2 linked regions of the Saccharomyces cerevisiae S288C genome follow. Changing the gene in region 2 together with the main gene of any one other region gives a genetic interaction. Each region holds a gene or a part of one and is shown on either strand. Other genes may lie near its edges.

Evidence for each region. Genes that interact genetically often act in the same process or in processes that back each other up.
Region 1: mutations in RTT109 (region 2) and DST1 together harm fitness more than expected from each alone (negative genetic interaction), as found in Saccharomyces cerevisiae (5 studies listed by BioGRID, with this or other methods).

Annotation. Positions count from the first base shown.
Region 1 is NC_001139.9:415,650-418,912, forward strand, and holds DST1 (transcription elongation factor DST1), read left to right. Parts: upstream 1-1,833; coding exon 1,834-2,763; downstream 2,764-3,263. Other genes in the region: RIM8 (Rim8p), read left to right, coding at 1-81; RNA15 (Rna15p), read right to left, coding at 497-1,387; YGL041C-B (uncharacterized protein), read right to left, coding at 3,055-3,237; DPC13 (Dpc13p), read left to right, coding at 3,176-3,263. UniProt on the Saccharomyces cerevisiae protein: Necessary for efficient RNA polymerase II transcription elongation past template-encoded arresting sites.
Region 2 is NC_001144.5:143,743-148,649, reverse strand, and holds RTT109 (H3 histone acetyltransferase RTT109), read right to left. Parts: upstream 2,360-4,907; coding exon 1,049-2,359; downstream 1-1,048. Other genes in the region: dynamin-related GTPase DNM1, read right to left, coding at 1-760; SFI1 (Sfi1p), read right to left, coding at 2,609-4,907. UniProt on the Saccharomyces cerevisiae protein: Histone chaperone-dependent acetylase that modifies 'Lys-9', 'Lys-14', 'Lys-23', 'Lys-27', and 'Lys-56' on histone H3 (H3K9Ac, H3K14Ac and H3K23Ac, H3K27Ac, and H3K56Ac) to promote nucleosome assembly, genomic stability, DNA repair and transcriptional regulation during mitotic S-phase.

The DNA.
Region 1 (3,263 bases), on a different chromosome or scaffold from region 2:
CCGTCGGAAGACAAACAAGAACTTGAACAAAAAAGACTACAACAGTTAGAAAGCGATCCTCCCCCTTGTGATGACTATTAAAAAGTGCAGGTAACAAGTCATATACTCGCAGCTTGCGCCGTGTTGGAACTAGGCGCCTTAATCATGTTTGCATATTTCCACTATCCCAGCCACGTAATGATCCATGACATTAACATAGAAAAAAAAAATCGAAGCATGCACAAACCTGAGATTTATATATGTTCATGTGTACTTAATATACGTTTAATGATTAAAACTATAGCCGTCCTCAGGCAAACTGAGATAAGAAACGAAAAAATAGCAGTAACGTAAACGTTATTCTATATTTATAAAGACGTCAAAAAAAAAAGTGATTGTGATATTGAGATGTAAGCTATATACCGAACTTTGAGCTCCCTCACGTGGAAAATATGATAGATTGTTGCCTCATCATTGCGGAACCGCATTTTTTTTTTGTATTTTTGCCTCCCTAGTTTCAAAATGCACCAAATTCTCCCCTTAATGCTTTTTGTTTTAAGTCCCAAATAGCCATCCTTTCATCATCGGGCAAGATAGAAATTTGACTGTCATTCAGTTGTAACACCTGTTTCAGTAGTTCTTTCTGTTTGTTAAGCACAGCTGGATCCACCACCTCGTTCACGCTATTGTTATTCGTAGCCGATGCCTCTTCTTGCGGCCTGGAAGCTAACGGGATCAAATCATCCACTTTACATATCCCATTCGTTAGCAATAATTCAGCCGTAACAAAACTCAACTGTGGACACAGCTCTAATAGCGAAACAGCATCTTCAGGATGCGCTCTTGTCCATTCTTGGAATTTTTGTAAAAATTTCAACTGCACCTCTTTCGGTTTTTTAGCTAGTTCGCTCGATATCATCATAGCAGGGGTGGTCATGTTTATGTTAACGTCGATACCAGAGGGCAATTCTGGAAACTTTTGACTTAGAAAATTGGCATTTCCGCTGTTTTGAAAGTCCGGCCCATTACTATTATTATTATTATTTCCATTGTTGTTATTGTTCCCATTAATGTTGTTGTACTGTTGTTGTTGCTGTTGTGAAACTCCCGATATATCACTATTGCTGGAGTAACCGCATTTCAAAAACCTAGAGCCTAATTGGTATCCATTCAAATTACGTACTGCGCTGGCACTGGACTCTAAATCTCTAAATTCAATAAACGCGTACCCTTTCGACCTACCAGTTTGGGGGTCGAACATCATTTTCAAATTGATCACGGGCCCAACATTACTACATAAATCAAGTATCTGCTCCTCTGTTTGATCGTATGGTATAGAACCCAGATACACCACTCGGGATGGTGGGTTGTTCTGTACCCCCGCATTCACACCGCTCTGCCTATTCATTTTATCGTTTTCGTCTTTTCTTTCAATGTATTGATAATTAACGTGTCTATGTGATGCTATTGGTATATAGCCTTTCTTGTATATCCCTCTAACAATTATTACAAGTGTTTCTGTTTAAAGCAAGTGCTAGAAGTGACTCGGTTCTCTTAGGAAATTCTAAACGCAAGATTTCTCTTATGGTGATTGTAACAATTATGAGATACTTCACTAGCCCACCTTAACTTTACGGACCTTCTTTTGAAACGATGCTTCGAATGACAACGCCTTTTTGATATATAATATCCAATTTCATTATAGGGAAATTTTCAACTCTTACCCGCCCCACTGTGCTGATATGACCAAGTGATCACTCGATGATGGGACTACGTATTGAAAAATATTGAATGAAAAATTACTCAAGCAGCAGAACATTCACAGTGTAGTCAGTCCGCATAAGAGCATTCATCATGGATAGTAAGGAAGTACTGGTACATGTTAAGAATCTAGAAAAGAACAAAAGTAATGATGCTGCAGTTCTAGAAATCTTACATGTCTTGGATAAAGAATTCGTCCCCACTGAAAAGTTACTGAGAGAAACAAAAGTTGGTGTGGAAGTCAACAAGTTTAAAAAATCCACTAATGTAGAGATCAGCAAACTCGTGAAGAAAATGATTAGCTCTTGGAAAGACGCAATTAATAAAAATAAGCGTTCCAGGCAAGCACAGCAGCATCATCAAGATCATGCGCCAGGCAATGCAGAGGACAAGACAACTGTAGGTGAGTCCGTGAATGGTGTTCAACAGCCGGCCTCCTCCCAGTCAGATGCCATGAAACAAGACAAGTACGTCAGCACTAAACCAAGAAATAGTAAGAACGATGGTGTGGATACAGCTATATACCACCACAAATTACGTGATCAGGTACTAAAAGCACTCTACGACGTTTTGGCCAAGGAAAGTGAGCATCCACCTCAATCTATTTTGCATACTGCAAAGGCCATAGAAAGTGAAATGAATAAAGTTAACAACTGTGACACCAACGAAGCCGCTTACAAAGCCAGGTATCGTATAATTTATTCAAACGTCATATCAAAGAATAACCCAGATCTCAAACATAAAATTGCCAACGGTGATATAACACCTGAATTCTTAGCTACATGCGATGCCAAGGATCTGGCACCAGCGCCCTTAAAGCAAAAGATAGAAGAAATTGCCAAGCAAAACTTATACAACGCACAGGGTGCCACCATAGAAAGGTCAGTCACCGATAGATTTACATGTGGTAAATGTAAAGAGAAGAAGGTATCTTACTATCAATTGCAAACAAGATCTGCGGATGAACCATTGACCACTTTCTGTACATGTGAAGCATGTGGTAACAGATGGAAATTCTCTTAGAATAGAAAAAGATGAGAGTAGCCACGGACAGAGCAAAGGAAACAATAGGAGGAAGGGACAGAAAAGCCTGTTCTGACTCTATTCGTAGTAGTATTTGACAGCCGGAATCCAGGAAAAGAAAAAGCCAAACATACAACCATATCCAATTTGTTGAAATGGCATATTCATATACGATGTACATATATACATATACTGCTGGTGTTAATTTTTTTTGTCTGTCTCACGTAAAATCTTTTGTTCGTCCAGTTACTTTTAATTATTTATGATTTTCATGTTTTCTTTATTAATCTTCTATGCATTAAATATGGCTCGGTCAGAACTAAAGAAATACAATTTAAGATGTAACAAAACCGACGAATAAAAAGTTAGAATAAACACAAGAAGCAGAAAGTAGATACTACAGCCACACATAATGCTAAGAGTTATATGGAAGCATAGTTCCAGAGTCACTCGTTCGATAGAACTATCGAACATTTCTACCACTAATCACACCAGGAGTT
Region 2 (4,907 bases):
TAGTCCCAGAATCCATCAAATCTAATTTGGTAATGACACCAATAGTCCTTTTGCCCTGAGGGTCTACCTCTCTGGCCAACTTTAAGGATTCAGAATTAACAAGATCAACGTTAGCTGGAGAGACGGCCAAGATTAAACAATTTGGAGTGGCTATATAGTCTAGGATCAAATTCTTGATTTGCTTTTCAATATCAGGTGGTTGTTCCCCAATAGGAACCTTTGTAATCCCAGGCAAATCTACTAGCGTTAGATTCAAAACATGAGGGGAAAACACTTTCAAATTAATCGGAATCTTACTGATGCCCTTATCCTTACCGGCTATCCTCGCTGTTTCGTTTTCGATTTCTCTTTTGATATCGTCGAAATCATAAAACCGTTTTCCTGGTATATGCAGGAATTCCCCCCACTCATCTGCATGATTTCTTTCCTTGCCCCTATACTCCAAGGGCTTCGTACCAGCTTCGAATCCTGATATTTTTGTAACTTCATCATGTGGATTAACTGAGTTATCATCTTCCTCTATTAGAGGAGAATTTGGAGATATGTTATTAAGTTGAAGAACTAACGGTCTTCTTGTGACAATACCAGTACCCCTAGGTAAAAAATCTCTTCCAACTAACGTTTCCAATATCGAGGATTTCCCGGAGGATTGTGACCCAACAACAGCTAAAATGGGCAAATCGAGTGTATCGATCCCGGAGTCGTACATAACATCCTGCAGCTTGTTGACAGTAGGAATAAGATCTTCTAAACTAGCCATTCTTTATCCGTCGTATTTAGATTCGCTGGTAGCTACTTAATGATAAACTCTTTAGCAAATTGTGGCCAACCTGAGCAGTAGAGTAAAGGTAATATTTCATCCTACCCTCTTATTTATTGTTCCCACACTTTGTTTTGCCCGACCTTACAGGCGTGCACCGCGTAGTAAAAGTTGAGGACCTATCATTACCTAGAAAGGTGGCGATCAAGGTACTAACAATAAATACAAACATGCATTTTCTAAGATCGATGCTACATACGTGTACTAAATAATAAATATCAATATGTATCAAGTTTTAGGCAAGGCTTTAGCTTTTTTACGCGGTTTTAGCATTGTTATCGCCAACGTGTTGATGTTGCTTGCAGGAACCGGCTGATTTCTCTCCCGATGCTCCCTCTTCCCTGTTAAAGATTGAAGATTTGTTGCCATTCTGAGCAATAGAAAATCACGAATATTGGTGAAAGCTTCTATTGCGCCTTCCTCTGTATCGTATTCCTCTCCAGTAATGTACTTCTTGATTGCCCTAAACTGCTTCCTTGACTTCGGTACAATAACATCGGCACTAGATGGAAATAAAGATGGAGTGGCAAGAGAGTATCCCGAAATACCCATTACAGATGATGTGACACTTAATTTGAACTCTTGACGCTCTTGTAGTTCAATCCAGAAGGATGATAAGCTTACTTTGAGGAGGCGATCTTCCTCTGCCAATTGGTGTATAAATCTAGCCTTAGGATCGTCTGGGAATAATGGAATATTATATACCGCAAGAGAATTTTCTTTAGAGGTAAATATATCACCCACTTGCCATAGTGGATATTTCATCCCTCTTAGGTATGATCTTACTCGAGCAGGATCTTCGCCCGGTATCCTTAATTTTGCTTGTGTATCATTTTGAAAGCATTCAATTAGTAATCTATCCAAAATAAAGCCCCACCATTTCATTAGTTCCTCGCCATTTAGTATATGCTTTTTGCTGTTTTTTGAAGAATCTGGGAAGAGGTACTGGGATGCAGGTCTAGTAAATAAACAAATTTTGGTCAAAATCTCACGAGGACAGGTGAATGAGAGATAAAGATCTTGTTGAAAACGTGGAGATTCTATTTCTTTCAAAACGGTGCTGCCTGACTGTTTAAGCCTTCTAGCCAAAATCCTTAAAGTTCTTGCTGGCGTACTGGCTGCGCTAATCAGCTCGGGGGATATCTTCTTATATGATCTTATTGCCGGTTTTACTTTTTGAAGATAGTAATTCGGGTCGATTGATAATATAAATTCTAATATTATTTTTGTAATATCTCTAACGCTTACCCTCGTATTACAATAACCATTAGTGTCTGCCTTTGATACAAATATTAACCGTTCGGCATCTGCTTCATCCCAAAGCGTGACATACACATACACTTCTAATGAAAAAAAAACTTTTCCTTGGTGAAATAGACTAAAGAAGTGTTGAGTCTTGATCGTGCTTTTTGGGACCCTTTTGTCGTCCTTATTTGGGGTTACGACAGCATGGGTTTCTAACGGAATAGATTGCAACGATAAGTATTCAAATTGTTCACTGACAGGTAGCACGGAACTTAGGAAGTCATTCAGTGACATGTCTTATTGAAGACCGGTTGAATTGACCTTTTAACTCTACTGGACAACTCTATTGACAAACTGTAGTTTGTTAAGTAATGCGTTATGGCGTCCATTTTCCATTATAGCTTACAACGCGAACACGAAAAGTATAGTATGTTGTGATGTTTTCATAGACCTGGAGAATATTATTAGTAATTGTATGCATCTCAGAAGCAAGAAAGGTTACGACTACATATGCACACATACATACGTACATAATATATATATCTATTGACGTTTACGACTTAACGGGGATTTATCATGCTCTCTTATATAATCCATATCTTGATCGATTTTAGGAGAATTGGCGCTTAGGCTAAAAGGTACAGCGGGTATTCTGCCAAAATCAATATGGTCAACTTTGGATGGCATGTTTCTAGTGGTACGCCTAGGAGAATACCTTAGAGGTTTTCCTCGCGTCGGAGATCCGTTTAAGCCTGTCGTACTTTCAAGGTTGATCTGTTTTTTAGCTGTAGAATCAAGAACACTGGAAGATTTCACCGGACTTGGTATGGCTCTTCTTGCCCTGCTATAATGCGACTTCATCGCTTCCATTCTGTGCTGCTTTATTCTTTCTGAGCCTGGTATGGTTGAGGCGTTTTGAGAGTCTGATCTTATGGGAGTTTTTAGTTCATGTTTAAGATTGAAGTCCTTCCTTCTCTTTGGAGAACTGTCTGAACGATTTTTCCATAATAATAACAATCCCCTTACAGTGGCCCTGTCCCACCGATGACGAAACACCTCGACTGTCTCATCATTACGCTTAATTTTTAGGAATCGAAGACTCCACATTTTCAAGAATTTGGATGTAATTATGAATTGTTTATTAGCTTCCGATTGTTCCAATAATGTACTCATATAAAATATTTCGTCTAGATGAGTTTTCCAAATATAAAACGTCTTGACTAACACAAATTCTTCGCGAACTTCGTCTGCTAATTCTTCTGATTTTACTATCTCTAAAAGTCTTTCTCTAAATTTCTTCAGCACCATTTTTTCAAGCTGGTAGTTTCTCTTTGAAATAGCCTGAATGTTACATTCTTCTGTGTAGAAGCAAAATCTATTTCGCCAAGCGTTGAACAGTTGGCTTTGAAGTTCGCGCTCTTTACTCTTTTCATAAACGTGTAAAATATCGTTTAACTTATGCCTGACTTTGAACCTTGTGGCTTTCCGCCACTTTAAAAAGGCCTTAGAAAGCTTTACTCTATCCATAGAGGGCGCCAGTTTCGTATATAGCAAATGAACATTATCAATATGCATTAGCGTCCGTTTTACAGTCAAAATTGCATGTGTCTTACATAAGAAATTGTATCTATCCTCCAATTCCTTAGTTTTAATCAGGCGTTCTTTCCATATAGCTAGACACTCATTTACGAGACCCTCTTCGTAAAATTTGGATGCTTCGTCATTCATAGAATTCATTTGTAGCATCCTCCTTTTCCACACACCAAGATATTTTGCACAAAATGCCGTTTTAACATGTTCGCTCGATATTTTCCCATACTGTATTCTTTTCCTCCATGTACGATACGCGCTTGCTTGAATACTCTTTTTACATTTCTGCTCAAATATTTTTAACTTTACTTCAAGTTTCCAACTTCGCAATGATGACTTGAGCAAATTAGTCCTCGAATAATCGCTTGCTTTGAGGTCAATATATAGAAGTTTTTTCCATGAATGAAAAATACGCTTCACGAGGTTAGCCTCTTTTAGACTTACAATTGAATACAAATGCAGATGGTCTTCGAATCTTTTCAGCCACATCTTCTCAAAAACGCACCTCAAAAGTGTCTGATTTAGTTTACTCTTTGCAATTGCCTCTTGTTGACTATGTTGAAATGACCGGTTTAATTTGCGAAAAAACTTTTGTTTGATGAATTTATTCTCCAGTTCATAAAGTGCCCCAAGTTTATCTTCGTTTTCAATGTTTTTCTTTTCCCATTTATTCAGATATTTTCTTTGTAGAGAAAACGACCTCACTTTTTCTGCAATGCTCTTATTGTATTCATAGTTTATAACTTTCTGTTTTATTCTTTCGAAAATCCTTCTTTCCAACCCGTGGTAGTTTATTTCTTTATGTCTTAGCTTCCATATATGAAATGTTGTTCGTAAAAATATCTTCTTAATGTTGTCAGTGTTAACAGTTTCTAAGTGTTTCCAATGCTCTTGTGCCTTTAAAATTTTCCTAAACATCTTATTCAAAAAGGCCTGATCTGCTAACCTTGACTGCTCCTTAAGAGTTTGTGTTAAAGTTATCCATTGTTGGAACGAGCGAAATAGTAGCCAAGTATTCCTAAAACTTTCAGCTTCATCGTTGGCCATCTGTGAGTATTTTAATGTTTTATCACTCCAAATATAGAAGACGGCTTCCTGTACCCTCAGCTTTGCTTGATTTGCAAACCTGTTTGCCTCTTCATTCAATTCACATACAGTCTTCCAGTGATTAAAATGTCTTCTGATTTTGTTCTTAGCGTAGGTATATTCTGCAAGGGACAATGCAATGAATTTGTTGCGAGGGTGGATTAAA